Linked DNA regions of Oryctolagus cuniculus. The protein of the gene in region 3 interacts with the protein of the main gene of each other region in a pairwise test. Links are inferred from orthologs where the notes say so. Each region holds a gene or a part of one and is shown on either strand. Other genes may lie near its edges. The genes, in order: PCSK5, GRN, NUFIP2, FBLN5 and EFEMP2.

What was found.
Region 1: the proteins of NUFIP2 (region 3) and PCSK5 interact in binary tests that used the Homo sapiens proteins (3 or more experiments, as listed by UniProt). The two-hybrid records come from large-scale screens. The link is inferred for Oryctolagus cuniculus from reciprocal best matches to the Homo sapiens genes NUFIP2 and PCSK5.
Region 2: the proteins of NUFIP2 (region 3) and GRN interact in binary tests that used the Homo sapiens proteins (3 or more experiments, as listed by UniProt). The link is inferred for Oryctolagus cuniculus from reciprocal best matches to the Homo sapiens genes NUFIP2 and GRN.
Region 4: the proteins of NUFIP2 (region 3) and FBLN5 interact in binary tests that used the Homo sapiens proteins (3 or more experiments, as listed by UniProt). The link is inferred for Oryctolagus cuniculus from reciprocal best matches to the Homo sapiens genes NUFIP2 and FBLN5.
Region 5: the proteins of NUFIP2 (region 3) and EFEMP2 interact in binary tests that used the Homo sapiens proteins (3 or more experiments, as listed by UniProt). The two-hybrid records come from large-scale screens. The link is inferred for Oryctolagus cuniculus from reciprocal best matches to the Homo sapiens genes NUFIP2 and EFEMP2.

Annotation. Positions count from the first base shown.
Region 1 is NC_091432.1:153,943,569-153,947,080, forward strand, and holds part of PCSK5 (proprotein convertase subtilisin/kexin type 5), read right to left. Parts: intron 3,218-3,512; coding exon 2,811-3,217; 3' UTR 1-2,810. UniProt on the Homo sapiens protein: Serine endoprotease that processes various proproteins by cleavage at paired basic amino acids, recognizing the RXXX[KR]R consensus motif. Likely functions in the constitutive and regulated secretory pathways.
Region 2 is NC_091448.1:18,942,993-18,947,291, reverse strand, and holds the start of GRN (progranulin), read left to right. Parts: upstream 1-1,492; 5' UTR 1,493-1,645; intron 1,646-3,712; 5' UTR 3,713-3,719; coding exon 3,720-3,857; intron 3,858-3,929; coding exon 3,930-4,055; intron 4,056-4,180; coding exon 4,181-4,265; intron 4,266-4,299. UniProt on the Homo sapiens protein: Secreted protein that acts as a key regulator of lysosomal function and as a growth factor involved in inflammation, wound healing and cell proliferation. Regulates protein trafficking to lysosomes, and also the activity of lysosomal enzymes.
Region 3 is NC_091448.1:44,719,262-44,722,773, reverse strand, and holds part of NUFIP2 (FMR1-interacting protein NUFIP2), read left to right. Parts: coding exon 1-323; intron 324-3,512. UniProt on the Homo sapiens protein: Binds RNA.
Region 4 is NC_091451.1:37,149,744-37,153,255, reverse strand, and holds part of FBLN5 (fibulin-5), read left to right. Parts: intron 1-3,243; coding exon 3,244-3,360; intron 3,361-3,512. UniProt on the Homo sapiens protein: Essential for elastic fiber formation, is involved in the assembly of continuous elastin (ELN) polymer and promotes the interaction of microfibrils and ELN. Stabilizes and organizes elastic fibers in the skin, lung and vasculature.
Region 5 is NC_091432.1:5,896,443-5,900,696, reverse strand, and holds the start of EFEMP2 (EGF-containing fibulin-like extracellular matrix protein 2), read right to left. Parts: upstream 2,806-4,254; 5' UTR 2,634-2,805; intron 2,363-2,633; 5' UTR 2,362-2,362; coding exon 2,251-2,361; intron 2,035-2,250; coding exon 1,986-2,034; intron 1,496-1,985; coding exon 1,289-1,495; intron 841-1,288; coding exon 718-840; intron 419-717; coding exon 302-418; intron 186-301; coding exon 66-185; intron 1-65. UniProt on the Homo sapiens protein: Plays a crucial role in elastic fiber formation in tissue, and in the formation of ultrastructural connections between elastic laminae and smooth muscle cells in the aorta, therefore participates in terminal differentiation and maturation of smooth muscle cell (SMC) and in the mechanical properties and wall integrity maintenance of the aorta.

The DNA.
Region 1 (3,512 bases), on a different chromosome or scaffold from region 3:
AGGTCTTCCTTCTGTTGGTTCACCCCCCAAATGGCCAAAATGGCCAGTGCTGCGCCGATTCGAAGCCAGGAGCCAGGTGCTTCCTCCTGGTCTCCCATGCAGATGCAGGGCCCAAGCACCTGGGCCATCCTCCACTGCCCTCCTGGGCCACAGCAGAGAGCTGGACTGGAAGAGGAGCAACAGGGACAGAATCCAGCACCCCAACCATGACTAGAACTCAGGGTGCCGGCGCCGCAGCTGGAGGATTAGCCAAGTGAGCCATGGCGCCCGCCCTGAAGAATTAATTTTAAATGATCAAAAATTTTGAGTCACATCACATGTGTGTGTGATACACGTGATCTTTGAAGAATTTTCTTTTAGGACAAAGCCAGTAAGCTACAGTATTGGCCAATTCTGGCCTATCATCTGATTTTGTACTGCCATGAGTAAAGAACAGTTTTTGTGTTTTTAAATGGATGAAATATATCAAAAGAAGAACACAATTTTATGATTGGTGAAAATAATCTAAAATTCAAATTTCATTGTTCATAAGTGAAGTTTTGTGAGACAGCCCACCCATTCTTTATTTCTGGCTGCACCCATGCTACAATGGAATGGATGCGAAACAGAACTTTTGGGTTACAAAGCCCAAGGGATTTACTATCTAGATTTTCCAGAGAATGTTTGCCAAACTTAATTTTAAGACCTTTGCTCCAAAGAAACACAGATCCTCAGTAAACTGAAGGTTTCTTAGTGGAGATTTCCTTCGTCAATGACACATTATGTCACAAACAAAAAGACATGAATTTATGAATAATGAATAATGTCGTTGCCAGAAGGATATTGATACCTTATAAAATAATAGCCATGGCTTTACTAAATGTAGAATAATTATTTTCCCACCCTATGTCAGTGAACTGTAGAAGCATACTCTTTAAGTCAATTCTTTTTCTGTTGAATCTTGATTTAACTTTCTCTGAACCTGAGACATAGCTCTTAACCTTTTCTAGGCCTCAGGTTTTCTATAAAAATGGAATCATAATTATACTAATCTCATAACATTATGGGATTAAATGGATAAGTTGAGTGACTATTTTCAGAGAAATTATTTAGCGTGGTAACTAATAGCATGCACAGTATGTTTGTAATGAAATTTTTTATTATTACCATCATCTGAAAATGTTACTTTCACTTTCTGATGTTCTATTCCTAATACAGCCTATAACTTCTTTGATAAAGGAAACCTGTAAGACACTGCTCACATACATACTGTTAAAAGATTTATTTATTCATTCATTTATTTATCTGAAAGGCAGAAAGCTGGGGGCGGGGAAGAGACAGAGAGAGAGAGAGAGAGAGATCTTTTGTATAACTTTCACTTCCCAATTGGCCACAACAGCCATGGCTGAGCCAGGCTGAAGCCAGGAGCCAGGAGCCAAGAGCTTCATCCAAGTCTCCCATATGGATGGCAGGGCCACCACCCACTAATTTCCCAGGTGCATTAACATGAAGGTAGATTGGAAGCAGAGCAGCTGGGAGTTGAACCACTGCTCTGATACAGGAAGCCTGTCTCATAGGTGCTGGCTTAACCTGCTGTGCCACAGTGCAGGTCCCTCACATAATTTTACATAGTAAGGACCCCTCTCTATTAGTATCGGTGGAAAAACTGATGCAGACGGCATGAATCTAAGAGCACGCTTGACAGGAGAGTGGAGAAGGAAGCCCAGACAGTGTAGACACAAAATCATGTTCTGACGAACACTGGAGAGCTGGTGGGCAGCTGGATGGCAGCTTGGGAGCGGGACACCAGGACTGTGCTGTGCAAGACGCTGGTCCAGCTTTTCCGTGGGGAGCCCCAGTTCCAGGAAGGGTTGTTGATAGGCACTCCTCTGATGTGGTTGCCATGTCCTGTTTTTGTTTTCCTGTTTTACTAGAGTGGATAAAGATTTTTTGTTTTGTTTTGGTCATTTTACCTAATTTTGTTAGGTTAACAGTGCCATTTAAAAAAATTTTAGTATTTCTTACCAGCAAAGCTCTTTGAAAATCTTGAGGATGTAATTGTTGGGAACTTAGTGATTACTTTCTCTTTGGGCTTGCTGCTACCTGTCTTCTGACCCAACTCATGCTGCCTTTAGGATCATAGTGACCTCCTTACGGAAGAGGGGCGAGAGCCTGGAGTCCCCTCATGGTTCCCTCCGTAGGTTGCTCCTTCTCCTTTCCTTCCACGTCTGTAAATAGGTCCACCGCGCCCTGTCTGAGATACTCTGCTGCTCACCAGGGGGGTTGTGGAGCAGTTGATAAGAACCTTCTCATCTGCACCCTTACAAAACAAATCTTGCCTGAAGACAGTTGTAAAAAGAGAGAGAAACTCCCCACCAAACCAGCACTCTCTACTTTCTCATCCTCCCAAATGAGATAAAGAAATCTCAGCAGATAAAGAAATCGCCACAATGCAGTTTGGAAACAGAATTCCTAAAGTCCACTGCTTTGTTTTAATCTCATCAAGGAGTTTGGACAAATGTCACTCGTTTTCACTTCCTGCATCTTGTGCTTTGACATGCTGTTCTGTTCTGGGAAAATGCCTTTGCGTTTTATCCTCGCTCTGAAATTATGGTGGAATAGAGACTGTTCATTGAATTTAGCCACACAAAAGAACAAAATCATTTCTAAGTATTCTTAGATATTCCAGTTGGACTCAAGATTCAAAAGACAAATACAGACACTTGCACATCAGCCTGGTGTGCGGGTCAAAGCAGAATCAGGGGTGTCCATAGGCATTCCTGGAAGGGGGATGGGCGGGAGCGGGGGCGGGGCATGGCCGTGTCTTCTGTTTACCGGAAGGAGTAACTCTCATCATCGTATTCCAGCTGATCGTCCTCCTCTTCTTCCAGCAGCCCATACTTAAACTTCCGGTAGACGGTGCCATCTTGGCCCATGTAGACGATGTCGTCATCATCATCCTCATCATAGTCCCGGTCCCTGTACTCGATTACCTGATCCTCTTCAAAGCTAGTGCTCTCTAGATAGCTGCTCTTACGGGCCGAGTAAGACCGAGTAGGATCCGCCAGCTTCTCGTAGCCAGCCTTTACTGCTGGCCGGACTCGGCCCCGAGATTTCTTCCAAACGATCGCAGCCGTCCCGAGCAGCAGCAGCAGCATGACTGAGGAGCTGATAAACAGGGCCGGCTTGGAACTCTGAGCTGCAGGTCCCACCTCACGCCTTCGAAGGATGCACTCATCTGTTGGAAGACAACCCCCGGGGCAGATGGGGGAGGAAAATGGTGGGAAAGAAATGATTTCGGGAAAATTAGTTTCTGAGGGCAAGAATTTCACTTTATTTAAAATCTAAAATATTTGCTTCCCTGTCTCTGATTTTTCTTAGCATGCCACTCTTCAAATTGCACTACAGACACACACCATTTAACAGCATTAAGTGTTGGGCTATTTTGTCATTGTGAGAATACCACAGGCTCCACTTGCACAGGCTAAGAGAGCTGGGATGTTGCTAGGTGATAGACTCTTCAGGGGGTCACC
Region 2 (4,299 bases), about 26 Mb from region 3:
GGGAAGTGGCCGAGGCCCTTGGAGTAGGAAGAGCAGGCAGGTGGGAGGCAGCCAGGGGTCTGCAGAGGGGCCTCAGCTTGCAACCACGCAGCACCAGGCGGCCGAGGGACCGGGACGCTGGGGTGCCTAGGTGGGGGAGGAGAGAACGGTCTGCGGAGATGGAGGGAGTGATAGCAAACGTGAAAGGGAGGGAGGCCAGGGTGGCTGGGTGAGGGAGCCACAGGCCTGGTCAGGGGCCCGTGGGAGGCTCGGGGAAGGGACGCGTCGGGCCTGACCCCCGGTGGCAAACGTTTCCATGAGCCCGGACGTCTGCCTCTCACGTCCCCTTGTCCCTGGGCGTGGAAGTGCCGCGGGCTCGCTGCAACCACTGGACAAGCTCATTGCAAACCGATTGCACACTTCCTGCCGCCAGCAATCAGGGCAAGGGCACGGCTGCTCAGCCTCACTGCCGGCCTTGGAGAGGGCCGCCTTAGGGCATCCAGGACCTTGTGCCTCTATCGCCGACGTCCCCAGCGCACTGGACTTCTAAGTTCTTCTGTGAGAAGTCTGCCTTCTGCCATTTTCCTATTGAATGCTCTTAATCTGTGCGACCGCTTCTAGAAGCCTCAATGCACACAGCCCCCGATCTTTTCAAAACTGCTTGTTGCTGGGAAACGAGAACATTAAAAAGTGTGCAAACTAACAGAAAAGACGCCCGGTGTGAGGCGAACACACCCCTCACCCCTGAGGCCGTGACAACCCCAAGACGTCTCCAGACGCTGCTGCGAACGTCCCCGGTGGGCAACACTGCCCCCGTTGGGGAATCTCTGCTCTCCTCACTCGCCGTGTCCGCTCCTGGAAGGCAGAGCTGACTGAAGCTAGGAGCCACTTGCCCTCGCTGCCCACCCGCGCCGGGCGCCCCCCTGGCTCCGGGCCTGTGCGATCTCCCAGCGCCCCGCCCCGCCCCCGCTGCGACCCAGGTCCTCGCGGGTTCAGCTCGAGCCACTGCTCCCACGGCCGACTTCAATCCCTCCTTCTCGGGCGTGAGCCACCCTCGCTCCTCTCCCTCCAGCACCTCCACGGCACCCGGCACGCGCGCTGAGCCTGACCCGGCCGCTTAGGCGAGGGTCTGGGAGCTGCCCCTTTCGGCGTCCACAGCCATCCCTCATCTCCCCTCGGGGTTCGGCTGCCCGACCTTTAACGCGAGGCGGCTCAAAGAACAGAAGCGGAGTGCACAAAGCTCCGCCGCCCAGCGCCCGCGAACGCCCGCGAACGCCCCGCAGAGGCGCGGCCGGCCGGCGGTCAGCGTCCACAAATAACGCGGGCCCCTCCTCCCGCACACAACTCCAGGCGCCGGCGGCACGCGGCTGGCTGCGAGGCTGGCAGCGGCAGCCCCGGCCGAGGCGTCATATGATTCCCCAATCACATGATCCCAAGAAAATGGGGTGTGGGGAGAGAGAGGAAGGGGAGGAGGAGGCTGAATTGAGAAAAAGAAACACAGCTTTCCAGGCTGGCCCCGCCTCTACGTCGAGGACTAGCCAATGGGGGCGCGGTATCTGGGATCCCCGGCCAATGGAAACAGAGGAGGGTGGGCCAGCGCGCTGAGGGGCCGGCGTCCGTGAGGGGAGCCGCGGCTGCTGCCCAGGGAGCGCGGACGCGGACGCAGGTAGCAGGGCGGCGGCGCAGGGGCTTGGAGGGGGGTGTGGGCTTAGGGGTCCTCTGGCGTCTCAGCCCGGAGGCGAGAGAAGAGCCGCTTGTGGAAACTCCTTTAGGGGTTTCTGATGCACGGGGGTAGGGGGCGCAAGCAGTCACTGCAGACACCCCCACCCGAGGGGGCTTCTCTGCCTCCCAGAACCCCGGGAGCCGCAGTCCCCCCGATTCTTGAGCCTGCCCCACCGCCTGCAGGCAGGTGCCGGCTCTTCCCCTTCTGGCGGTGAGGGTGGGGGGTGGTCCCTGAAGGGGAGGCCCGCCCGCCCGCCGCTTGTCCCGGGGCGCAGAGGGGCTTGGAGCGGGACAGGGGAGAGGTGACTGAACCCCCGGGTGGAGTCTGGCTCTTCCCCAACTTCCTCTGCCGGGGGGCGGCACGAGCTAACTTCCGCCTCTCCCCGCCACTTTTTCCTGCGCCTTCGCAGTTCACCTTTTGGGGAATTTCCTGGCCCCTTGGCCCTGGGGTTGGGAGTGCCACTTAGCGGAAGGTGCCAGGGGCTTACAGAGGCTCCGTCCTCTCCGGGCCGGGGGTGAGGGTGGGGTGAGGGAGACCCTCGCCCCATCGCCGGGGCTGTGCGCGCCTGCGTGCGTGTGGATTCGCCAGAGCGTGCACTGCACTCCCCCCACTCCAGATACAGGGCGAGGAAGATACGACAGCTAGGTCACGGGCGCCGGGTAGTCCCGGGCAGACAGGCCCCCACCTGGCGGCCTGCGCTGGGGCTGGGCACGGAGAAGCAGGTGCAGGCGGCTGCGCGGGCTCTGCCCGGGAGCTGAGGGGCGAGCGCGGACCTGGGGACTCGGTCCAGGACCAGGCGGCTCGGTCCAGGACCAGGCTGCGGCCGCGAGAGCCAGGGGGTGGCCTTCCAGGTGTGTGGGGGGCCGGGGGGGGGTACTTGAGCAAATGCAGGAAACACTTCCATTCCCTGCCTGTGCCTGGACCCCAGGCCCACCCCTCCCATGGTTTGGGGTCCCTTCCCGGGCCGGCGTGCCCTGAGCCATCAGGGCCCGCTCTCACTGGAGCTGGCACGGGGCTGGACTTCTGCCATAAAGCCTCGGGCTCCAGTTTCCCTCTGAGGGTAAAGGTCGTGCTCCTCACGCTGGATGATGGTTGCAAAGCAGTAAACAACCAGGAGTGCCCCGGCAGGCATGCGGCCCGGCCGGGAGGCAGGGTAGCGCTTCTTGGGTTGGCGGCACAGGCCCCGAGCCCGGGGAAAGACTTGTGTGGGTAGCAGGAGGCGGCTTCCCCCAGGAGCCTGTGGCCGGTTCCTCCCGCTGACTCAGATGGGCCGCCCAGCGGGCGCAGTAGCCTCTGCCCACATGTGGCTGCTTCATTTCCAGCAGAGGAGACATGGGGATGGGTGATGTGTTTGGGGACTTGACAGGGCCCTTGGTGGTGTTGGGGGCCCTCAGCACACAGGGATCTGGAAGCTGCCCTTGCCTCCGTGTCTCCTGTCCTGGGTGGGGTGGGGACCGCCGCGGGCAGCAGTGAGGGAGCCCTGGGGAAGACACCCGAGTCTCCACTGGCTGCCACTTCCTGTTTCACAACTTTTCTTAACCCTGTGGCGTCCGTGTCAGGAAGTGACCACTGGGCCCTGCGAGACCACAGCAAGGGCAGGTGTGGGTGCAGCGTTGGGAGGACTGGCTGAGGAGTGGGGAGCCTTGGATGTTCCTGGAGAAGCCCCTCCTGTACCCCAGCCCCATCCTCTCCCCTGGCCCTGAGCCCCCCCCCCCGAGGTGGCCCACGTCTCCACACATCACATCCACAGAATCCACACTGCGTCTCACAAGCCCGCGTCTGCACACTCGCACACGGAGACGCAGGAGTGTCACGTGCTTGGAACATGCAATGACACACAGGGAGGAAGCTGCGTCCGAGCCACACGTTTCTGCGTCGGGACGGAGCTGGGAGGCAGGCTCCAGGTCTCCCGGGCCTGGACGTCGGCCTGGGGCTGCCTGAGCGAGCGGCTTCAGACTCTGAGGCGGCCTGGACTTCAGCTGGTTGACAGGTGCCCGTTGGTGTTCGCAGGCAGACCATGTGGGCCCTGGTGAGCTGGGTGGCCGTCATGGCAGGGCTGGTCGCTGGAACACAGTGCCCCGACGGTCAGCGCTGCCCCGAGGCCTGCTGCCTGGACCCTGGAGGAGCCGGCTACAGCTGCTGCAGCCACGTGCCGGTGAGTGCCCGGCTAAGAGCCTTCCCAAGGCGGGCAGAGGCCTTCGGTCTATTCTCTGGCCTCTCTTTGCAGGACAAATGGCCCCCGACACTGAGCAGGCGTCTGGGCAGACCCTGCCAGGTGGGTGCCCACTGCACCCACGGCGCCTCCTGCGTCCTCACCGTCTCGGGCACCTCCAGCTGCTGCCCCTTTCCGGAGGTGAGGGCACCGCTTATGCAGTGGAGGGGCTCGGAGCTGCCTTTGCACTTTGCCTGCCTGCCTCCCGCCCCCCGCCCCCTCGGGTAGGAGGGCCATCCCGACGCAGGCGCCTCTGTGTCCCACAGGCTGTGTCCTGCGCGGATGGCCGTCACTGCTGCCCTCGGGGCTTCCACTGCAGCGCGGATGGGCGAGCCTGCTTCCGGGCGGCAGGTGCGGCAGGGGCACAGGGGAGGGCCGGTGGGCC
Region 3 (3,512 bases):
GTTTCCCAAGGCTTATGAGCTGGAGAAACGGACTAGTCCTCAAGTTCTGAGTAACATTCTAAAATCTGGGACTACTAATGAGAGTGGAGCCTTATCCTTGGAACCCAGTCATATAGGTGACCTGCAAAAAGCAGACACCAGTAGTCAAGGTGCTTTAGTGTTTCTCTCAAAGGACTACGAGATAGAAAATCAAAATCCTCTGGCCTCTCCTACGAACACTTTGTTGGGCTCCGCCAAAGAACAGAGATACCAGAGAGGCCTAGAAAGGAATGATAGCTGGGGTTCTTTTGACCTGAGGGCTGCTATTGTATATCACACTAAAGGTAACTTCATTTGTTTCTTATACAAAGATTCTTACTGTCTAATTTATTTTTATTTGTATTAAGAGTAAATTTTGAAAACTATGAGCTGCTTTGCAAAGGTTAATTGAGAATGACAATGTGGATAAGAACCCAATATCAAACTCTTTAATTCAGGGTCTTTGGAAATAGTATGGTTAAACTTGAGAAAGAATGAATGTTCGTTTTTTCCTACTTAAAAACATTATCTTATATGGACAAGTATAAATTAAAGAGAGGTAGGCAGTGCCTGCCCAGAAGGGTGACATTATATTATCTCATGAGTTCTTCAAAAATTTTTTTCTTTGGGTATATGTTCCCTGTCTCTTATTTTTTGTATTATATGCTTAATTCCAAAGTCATTTAATATTTTTAATTTGCCTAAAATGAATAAGAGCAGTATTTTTGAAGAAGGGTCCAAAAAAGATGGAGTATCAAACTTTACATCTTTTATAAGAAGGAATAATGTGTGCTGAATAGTAACCAGAAAATAAGTTAAATCCTTAATGCAAATAGTGAGGTGTAACAAATGATATTTATAAACTTTTTGCTTTTTAGGACAGTGGTTTTTAATCTTCATACCTTTTCCACCTTTGTTCCCATACCCATGTCTGCATGGACACAATTAATAGATACTGCACATTCCCATTTTTAACATGGCCGTTTAGGCATGATTTGGAACTGCTGGGAAGAATATGCATATCAGATTGTGGGTATGAGGTAATTACCATATTTTCCCTGGAAGAAATCATTGCATCAGAGATGAATAACAAAGCTTTTTATGTGACTTGAGCAAATTTCTTAATCTTACATACCTTTCCTTCTCTGTGAACAAAAACATTTATTTGGTACAATGAACTAAATTGATCTTTTCCTTAAAAAGTGGAAAGCAGTAGAATTGCCTTATGGACGTTAAGGGACAAGAATTCTGGCAGGTAAAATTCACCTGCCTTCACTTGTTCTCTAGTTCTGCTCTTGGGAACTAACCATGAGGTTTACCCTGGAACTGGATTTATTTTTTTAGGGCTGTAAGGGCAAAAAAGAAATACTTAGTTCTATTTAAATTAAATTCTACTGGGAGGGTAGGGTGTCATTTTCTGTGCCATCTGCCCTTCAAATAATGTTATTGGAAAATGTTTACCAAAGTGTCTAGTGGTGGTCATTGTGTAGGCCTGAGAAGATATTTGGTTGTGTTATATTCTGCTACCTCAAAATTTGTGGGATCTGTTCTACTAGGTAGTTGATTAGTTGTTTTATGTATGATTCTCTTTTTTATTATGTGTAATTGTAGGCCTTTTTAAATGAGAGCATTAGTTTGTATTCCAGTTATTCTGTGTGCATTCCCTATATATGGGCTAACTAAAATCAGTGATTCAGATAAACTAAATGTGCCATATAGATGCAAATGTGTTTAGTTTTGCTGGTATTACTGAAAAGATTTTCTTTAGTAAGTTTGTGTATTAAAATGAATCAGGTTGATATTGATTGTTTTTCCCCTGGAACAACAGATAATGTTCAGTTTGGGTTCCAGAGTGGCAAGTTCTTTGAATTGCTGCCAAGTGTTGATTGGTCCATTAGTGATCAATTGGTTCGTTAGTTTTCCCTTTACTTGAATTGGTTTTAAGTTAACCTTTTGATCATCTGAATAACTTTTTATTTTTTTTTAAAGATTTATTTATTTATTTGAAAGGCAGAATTAAAGAGAGGGCTCACTCACCATATGGCTGTGACAGCCAAAGCTGTGCAAGACTGAAACCAGGAGCCAGGAGCTTCTTCCAGGTCTTCCTCGTGGATACAGGGGCCCAAGCACTTGGGCCATCCTGTGCTGTTTTCCCAGGCACAGACCTCTCTCTCTCTCTCTCTCTCTCTCTCTCTCTGTGCCTCTCCTCTCCCTGTGTAACTCTGACTTTTTCCAGGCTGAATCACAAGTGGAACAACCATGACCGCTACACCACGGCACCGGCCCCTAAGAGCATTTCTTTAGGTTATTTAGAGAGAACTGCCTGCTGATTCACTCCCAAGAGGCTGCAATGACTAGAGCTGGGCCAGGCCAGTCTGAAGTCGGGCACTTCATCTGGGTCTCCCATGTGGTTGCAGGAGCCCAAGCACTTGGGCCATCTCTGCTTTTCCCAGGCTATTAAGAGAGCTGGAGCAAAAGTAGAGCAGCCGGAACTTGAACCTGTACCCTTATGGGATGTCGATGTCACAGGCGTCAGCTTTACCTATTACACAATAATGCTGGTCCTGGAGTGGTGCATTTTTAAAAAAAAAAAGATTTCCCCCTATCTCTTTAACACTTTCAAATAAATAAATAATTTTTGTGTTAGGTTTTGTTTTTTAAGGCAGAGCAACAGAGAGGGAAAAACAAATATTCCATCTGCTGGTTCAGTCCCCAAATGACTGCAACAGCCAGGTCTGAGCGAGGCTAATGCCAAGAGCAAGAACTCCATCCTGGTCTCCCACAGGGGTGGCAAGGGACCCTATAATATTAACCATTTATGTGTGTAGTTCACTGGTCTTAAGTAACGGCTTATAACTATCACAACCATCCATCTCAAAAATGTTTTAGAGGCCAGTGCTAAAAAAGGTAAAGCCACCGCCTGCAGTGCCAGCATCCTATATAGGTGCTGGTTCGAGTCCTGGCTGCTCCACTTCTGATCCAGCTCTCTGCTATGGCTTGGGAAAGCAGTAGATTGCCCAAGTGCTTGGGCCCCTGCACTTGTGTGGGAGACCTGGAAGAAGCTCCTGGCTCCTGGCTTCGGATCAGCACAGCTGTGGCCGTTGCAGCCAATTGGAGTGAACCAGCAGATGGAAGTCCTCTCTCTCTCTCTGCCTCTCTTCTTCCTGTGTAACTCTGACTTTCAAGTTAAATAAATAAATTTTAAAAATATATACCTATATAAGCAGGCCAGCACTGTGCCGCAGAAGGTTAAGGCACCATTGCAGTGCCTTATGGGCTCCCATTCCAGTGTTGACTGCTCTACTTCATCCAGCTCCCTTCTGATGCGTCCGAGAAAGCAACGCAAAATGGCTCAAATCCTTGGGCCCCTGTACCCACATGGGAGACCTGGAAGTGACTCCTGGCTTCAGCCTGGCCCAACCCTGGTCTTTACAGCCATTTGGGGAGTGACTCATAAGAGGAAGACCAGTCCTGAAACTGACTTTCAGATAAAT
Region 4 (3,512 bases), on a different chromosome or scaffold from region 3:
TTCCTTTGGTGGGGAGGGGTGGGGTAGATGCCTGTGGAGCTTACGGATATTACCACTGTCATGCCATCATCACAGTTCTTTAAACTTCATTTATAAGAGAGGTGGAGAAAGAGCTCCGTCTACCATTTCACTCCCCCTCAATGCCCACGATGGCTGGGATTTGGCCAGGCCACAGCCAGGAGCCAGGAGCTCAATTCTGGTCTCTGAGATGGGTGGTAGGGACCCAGTTACTTAACAGGAAAGTGGAGTCAGAAGCCAAAGCCAGGAGTCGAACTCAGGCACCCGGATGTGGGACGTGGGCATTGTAACCCGCATCTCGGCTGCGGGGCCGAATGCCTGCCCCAGCACTGTGTGGCTCTTGGCTGTGCCTTTCAGGATTTTATCTGGGGCTTCCTGCCCTCAGGGACTTTCTCCTAAGCTGGGAAGTGATGAGGGAAGGCTACTCTGCCCTAGTTAGAAATCGTACTAAAGAGAAATGAGCACTTTTGCCTAGAAGAGAACGTTCCAAGTCTCAAATGTGGACTAATAGGTCCAGACAGACATCGCATCCTCCCAACACCTTATCTCCGTCTCTGCCCGCCACGCCTCTGCTCGCCGTGACCTCTGCCTGCCACGCCCCCTCTGCTGGCCGTGACCTCTCCTTTCACTGCTGAGGGGTCCGCCGTCACCCACCGAGGATGGCGTCCTTGCAGTTGGCATTGGCTCTCTGATCTTTCTGTTTATTTTTACTGGAGAGCTCTCTTCCTTCCCTCTCCTCTGGTTTTGGGCTCAGCCAAGGGAATGAATTCATAGGAATATCCAGCTGTCACTTCAAGTTCTATTTCTAGGGTGTGATTTCTATGCTGTGTTTTCTTGGAAAAGTCCTGCCGGTTTGAGTTGTCTAAGACACTGTTCTGTGGCCTGAAAGCCGGTGCCGGAGCAGCAGAGAAACCGATCCAAGCAGCATCATGGAAACAGAACAGAACAGAAACTGCTTCTTTCCAAGGCTGGCTTGATTGAGGCAGAAATCGGGTCCACCCTGGAGGCCTGACCGACCAGCCCGGCTTGGCTTCCTCTGCTTTCCAGACACGCACGGCAGAGTGGTGCATGCGGATGTCTGAGGATATGACAGTCGCAATGCATGTAAACCGACCTCTGTGCCCGTGGGGAGTTGGATACTATTGATGTGAACATACGCAGATCCCTGGGAGGGGGCTGTTTGTATAGGAACTGCATCTGTAGAATGCCAGAGCTGGAAGGGATGTAGATCTTATGTCAGAGTTGGAGACTGCGACTCAGAGAGGAGGGACAATTTGGACTACGTTAAAGTGAGTGGGTTGAGTCTTCAAGTCTCCTGGTCCTCAGGCCAGTGTTCATTTCCACCACAAGGGGCGCTAGGGAGGCAGAGGCAGCCAGGATACCCCTGGCCCCCAGGATAGACTTTGAGGCCAGGAACCTCCTTAGGCTCTAGGACCTTCCTCTGCCTGGGAGGGATATTCTCTTCCACAGAGCACAAGAGACCTTTATTCCTTATGGCTGAACACATGGCTTGCCCTGGTCAAATGCGTCTTTCTCTTCTAAAATACAAGTGCTACCCACTACCCGCTCCAGGCACCTAGGGAGGCCTTGCTTTTGCAGAACAAGGGACAGGTGCCCAGCTGCACCTGGGGAAGAGGAGCAACTGTACAGGCAGTGGGCTTGCCGTCCTTCTTTTTTATTTTATTTTATTTCTTCATGTGAGAGGTAGGGTTACAGACAGGGAAAGGGAGAGACAGAGAAAAAGGTCTTCCATCCACTGGTTCACTCCCCAAATGGCTGCAGTGGTTGGAGCTGAGCTGATCTGAAGCCAGGAGCCAGGAGCTTCTTCCACTTTGTTTGTTTGTTTTTAAAGATTTTAACCAATAGGCTTACGTCGCACAGTGGAATGCCTGGTTTGAGTCCTCTCTCCTCCATTTCCAGTCTAGCTTCCTGCTAATGCCCTGGGAGACATAGGTGATGGCCCATTGGGCCGCTGCCACCCTGTGGGAGACCCAGATGGAGATCCCTGGCTCCTGGCTTCAGCTTGGTGCAGCCCTGACTGTCGCAGGCATTTGGGGAATGAACCAGCAGATGGAAGATCGATCGATCGATCGATCTTTCTTGCTCGCTCGCTCGCCTGTCTCTGCCTGTCTCTGTCATCTTTCAAATAAAATGAAAATAAGTAAATAATTGAAAAAGAAGTAAGTGGACCTTAGAGATAAAAGAGAGCCTAGGGGCAGGGCACGGGATCCGAGAAGGGCTGAACAACGGGACAGGGGAGCTGGGGTCCTTTCTGGCAGAGAGACCAAGGTTCTGAGTCAGGGGCCAGAGCCCTGGATGGCTGCACCCTGGTTCCGTGGAACTGGGGTCCAGGGAGGGAATGCGGGTGGCGTAGGGTGAGGAAGGATGAGTTAAGGACCAGCTGCAGCCACCGGCAGGGCAATGGGCCTCCACGGGAGCTGGTACAGGTGAGGACTCTGTCTCCCCCTGGAGGCTGGTGGTTCGTTCCAGGCGCCCGGCCTCGGAGGAGTGAGTTCCCCAGGCTGTCAGCTCCCGGGGTTGAGAAGCGCTTTGCTGACAGTGTCAGGCGCCGGTGTCAGCAGGGTCCCTGTCGCGCAGCTCTGCTGGAAGGATCCACTCAGCCACAAGGCTGCTGCTTCCCTGGAAGGCAGAGTGGCTTGAAGACATTTTCCATCTGCTCTGGTGCAGGAGAGAGCCAAGGTGAACCGCAGCATCCTGAGTTCCTGGACTTGGGTCTTCGGACCGTGGTGCCTCCCAGGTCATGGTGGCCTGCACTAGCTCCTCAAGCTGAACGTGCAGTGGCCGGGAGCCTTTGGCAGCGGTGTTGTGGCTGCTGCTTACGTGTTAAGCTCACCTGTCCCTTCTCAGGGCAGTGAAAAAGTCATAGAGAGTCTTGGAATTGCATCTTAAGACTTGGGTAAAATCTGAGAGGGCCTCTTACCCAGTCCCACTCAGCAGAAATTCCTTCTGCGACCATCGACCTGCAAGAAGGGCTCAGGTCTTCAGGGACCAGGTGGTTCAGGGAGATGAGCCTTTGTCGGGAGACTGAGCCTTGAAAGCAGGGAGCATCCTGGCACTTAGTAGGCATGGTTTTAGCACTGGCTGCCTCCTCTGCTTCCTTGTCCGACCCTGCTCCGGAAGAGATGGGCATTAATGCCACGCTGGCGGTGGCATCGGCAAGAGAGACGGAGACCCGTCTCACCCTGCCTGTGTTTCTGTTTCCAGACATTGATGAATGTCGCTATGGTTACTGCCAGCAGCTCTGTGCGAATGTTCCTGGATCCTATTCCTGTACATGCAACCCTGGTTTTACCCTCAATGAAGATGGAAGGTCTTGCCAAGGTAGGTGACGTGCGAGATAACTTGGACAAGATGCAAAGCCCCAATGCAAAGCCCTGTTGTTATTCTGCATTCCTGTCCCCTGTCCCAGCCCCCCTCCCACTGCACTGCTTACAGAAACCCGACACCTGCACTGAGCTCCATGAACCCACTCA
Region 5 (4,254 bases), on a different chromosome or scaffold from region 3:
ACAGTGGACGGGACGTGGGGGCACCCTGGCCGCCGCTGGGGGAGCCCGCGCAGGGCTGAGCTCACCGCTGCAGGAGAAGCCGTCGCGGTGCAGCTCGTAGCCCTGGTGGCAGCGACACAGGAAGGTCCCGTAGGAGTTGAAGCAGCGCTGCTCACACGGGGCGCCCATGTCGCACTCGTTCACATCTGGGGGTGCCGGGACAAAAGCAGAGGGGCAGTCTGGGCTGGCCGCCAAGGGCGCTCCCCCAGCTCATACCTCCCAGCCCCGGGGGCCCCAGGAGCCCGGCCTGGCCCAGCCTCACCCACACAGGAGCGGTTGTTGGGCCCCAGCTGGAAGCCCGGTTCGCACTGGCAGCGGAAAGAGCCGGGCAGGTTCACACAGCGGTGCTGGCAGTAGCGGTAGCGGCACTCGTCAACGTCTGCGACGGCGGCGGGGAGGGAGGCCGCGGAAGGCGCCAGTCAGTGGGGCCCCCACTCGAGGCCTCACTGCCCACAGACCCGGATGTCTCTGGGCAGCTGGACGGGGCCAGCCAGCCAGAGGACGCACGCACGCACAGGCACACACACACACACACATGCGCATGCGCACACACACGGTGTCCATGCAGTCCTCTGTGTCTGATGGCAGGAAGGCAGAGGGGGCCGGGGGCTGGGGTGACGCCCGGGGGTGGGCTGGAGTTGGGGGCTCAGGAACAGACAGGCTGCTGGCCGCACTCACCCACACACTCCGGCCCGATCTTGCGGTAGCCATCCGGGCAGGTGCACTCGTACGAGCCAGGCAGGTTGTGGCAGTCCTGGCTGGGCCGACAGTCGTGCAAGGCCTGCGCACACTCGTCCACATCTGCAGCAGACACCCCTGAGCCTCCGCCTGGGGTCGCTCACGCCATCCGGCGAGGCAGGCACCCAGCGTGGGAGGACGCAGTCCAGAAGCCACCACGAGGGCACAGGAGACCCCTCCCACCCGCCCACCAGCCTGGGAGGCAGCAGGAGACAAGGCTCTGTCCACACCCTCAGCCCCCAGCGACCCTGATCCCAGGACACCCCCCGCCAGGGCCCGCGGCTTCCAGGGGTGCAGTCCAGATCAAGGCTCCTGCAGGGTCTCTGCAGCACGTGAGGGGAGGGTCCCCTGGGACTGGCCCCGGACACAGCGAGGGCCTGGATGAGGGGCCGGGCAGCCCCTGGTGGCCCCCAGGAGCCATCAGTAAGGGCTTGGAGCAACGCAAGAACGCGAGCCCAAGTTGCGAGAAGCGTGGCGACAGCATGGGACGCCCGGGCCCAGAGGGACTCACCCACGCAGCTCTCCTGTTCGTCGGGCTCATAGCCTGGCGGGCAGGAGTTGGGGTGCTGAGCGGGGGGCACAGGCGGCGGGGGGCCCTCGCCGTGCAGGTCGTTGATGACGGAAGCGGAGCGCGGCAGACACAGGTAGCCCCCGTAGTGATTGATGCACTTCATCTCGCCCTTGCAGGCCTCGGGGATGGTCAGGCACTCATTCACATCTGCGGGAGGCGGCCTGCTCGGCACAGCCGGTCCCGGGAGGGGGGCCGGCCCCGGGCGGGGCGGGGGGGGCGAGGCAGGAGCCCGCTTGGCCCTCCCTGAGCTCCACAAGCTGAGGCAGCCTGGTGTACCCAGGACCCCTCCCCTCCACACGGCCCCGCCACAGGCTGGAAGTGGGGAAGGGGTTGCCACTGCTGCCCCCACGCTGCCTCCAAGGGGGTCCTGGCCCTGGCTCAGCCGGGCAGTGATCTGCAGCCCCCCCCCCCCCCGTGGACACCGCCCTCCCAGGTTGCGATGGGGCAAAGCCTTCCATGGGACCAGCTGCTCCGGGGCTCCCCCAGTGGCTCTCCCATCTACCCCGGGGGGGGGGGACAGGGTTACCGGGGTTCTTGGAGAGGGAGGGGCCGCCCTGCCCTGCTGGGCTGGGTAGAGCACAGGCCCCCTGGGCTCTGGTCCCTGCTCCTGGGGGGCTGGTCCCCCTGTCACACTCACCCCGGCAGTGCTGGCTGTCTGGGTCCCACTCATAGCCATCGGTGCATTCCTGGAAGGAAACCGGAGGCTGCAGTGGTCACCCAGGGTCCCCTCCAACTGGCCAGGCCAATAGCAGGGCCTGAGCCTGGGCCACCCTCCCAGTCTGTTCCAAACAACGGCCCCCAGCTGCTCTACCGGCCGGGCTGGGGGGGCGAATCTCCCCCAAGAACAGCCTCCGGGGACCCTGGTCTCCCAGTGGTAGGCCACCCGCCCCCGCTGTCCCCACCGTGTAGCTGTCCGGTTCCTCGGAGTCCTGCGGTGACGCTGCCCCCAAGAGCAGCAGCAGCAGCGCCCAGAGCAGCAGAGACCCAGGGAGGCAGGAGGCGAAGGGGAGCATCCTGCGGCCGGGAGGGGGCGGGCGGGTCAGGGGCCTCTGCCACGGCCGCCCCATCCCCCCGCACCGGGCCCCGGCCCCGCCAGCTCCGGCTCAGGTCCGAGCCTGGGGCCCTGCAGCCCCGCAGGACCCGGGGCCCACTCGTTTCGTAGGCCCGGGTTCCGGGCCCACTCCGCCCCCGCCCGGTTCCCTGGCGGTGCGGGCCTCTCGGCCCGGCGGCCGCCGACTCTGCCGAGACTCCGGCCCGCGCCCCCCTCCCACGGGCCGCCACTCACTCGGCCGCGACGCCCCCGCGGCTCCGGCGGCTCCAACAGTGCCTGCGGGCGGACGGACGGGCGGACGGCGCAGCTCCCTGGACGCGCGGCCCCAGGAAGCGCCCCCCGCCCGCCCGCCCGCCGCGGTGCGGCCCACCCCGGCGCCTCCGCCCGCCCTTCGGCGGATTCCTGAGCCCGCGCCAGGGGGAGGGACCCCGACCCCCCGCTTCTCCGCCCCCGGCCGGCGGCCGCAGGCCCCCGCCCGGTCCCCCGCGGCGCCTCCCGGAGCCGCCTCCCGGCGCCGGGCCAGGGTCCCCCAGCGCTCGATCGTGGTGCCATGGACCTGGATGCCAAGCCCCCAGACTCACTCGGGGGGGGGGGCAGGCCCTCATCAGAAACGTCATCCCGCGCACCTGGCTGCTACCTACGCGCGCAGAATTCCTTTCTGCGCACCCACTGCTCAGTCCCGCACCCCCAGACCCTCATTCTGAGCCTCCCCGAAGGTAGGATCCGAGGCCCCACCCAGCCCTGGGGCCTCCATCCCCTCACTCGACCCCCCCAGAATTGTATTCTGTGCCCCCAGACCGTCACTCCAGACGTCCCCAAAACTTCACCCCGGGCCCCCGACCCTCGCCCCGGCACGAGACGCTCCCGGGTCCCGGGAGCAGAGCTGCCCATCTCTCCCTTCTACCCCCCCCCCCGCCCCGCCATCTCCCGCCAGGTGGTCCCTGCGCTCCTGCACGGCCTCCCCCGCCCCCGCGCTCAGCCCTCCAAGCCGAGGTCGGGGGCGGGGGCGCAGGTCCCTTTTGGCCCCAAATGAATGGCAGGCCCCCGCGAAGCAGGGACAGGGTGCACTCGGGGGCCAGGGACGCCAGGCTCCGGTGCCAACGCCTTCGCGACCCTCCTCTCGCCCGCGCCCCCCACTCGGCTTCCGACCCCTCCCCCAGCGGAGGGCGTGGCCGGGGCGGAGCCCGGGAGGGTTCGACTCCCAGGAAGGGGCGGGGCTTCGCGCTGCCCACGTCTCAGGGCTGGGCCAGACGGGAAAGGGCCGCGTGTGCAGGGCTCCCGGCACCCCGCAGGCTGCGAGAGGGAACAGTCGGGTCTTCCCGTCCCTTCCCCATCCCTGCTTGACCCCCCGATCGCCCCCAACTGACCCGGTGGGGCTCAGGCTGATGCATTCCTACCACCTGCCCAGGGGCTGGGGCAAGAAAGCCCGAAGTCCGAATTCTTGAAAACCAAGCGTTCACGAGTGTTGGCGAGGGTGCGGAGAACTCGCAGCCCTCCTAGGCTGCAGCTGCTAACATCATCCGGCTGTGTCCCCAGATGTTACCAGGCAGGTTCGCTCCCAGGTATGCGCCCGGGAGACTAGACGGGCGACAGGTACACACCCGCCCCGGGAGACCGGACGGGCGAAAGGTACACACCCGCCCCTCCCCAGAGACTGGACGGGCGACAGCTACTCACCGAAAGTCTGCTCATAGCAGCACCGCGCTGCGGGCTTCAGAGCGCTGGAATGTAGCAGCAACCCCACCAGGGTCAGTCAACCAGTGGGTAGCACACCCCCACGTGGAGGGTTGTCCAGGCGTGAGCAGGAACCCAGCCCGACACAGGCTGCCAGGGGGCTGAGCCTTGGACACCTTGC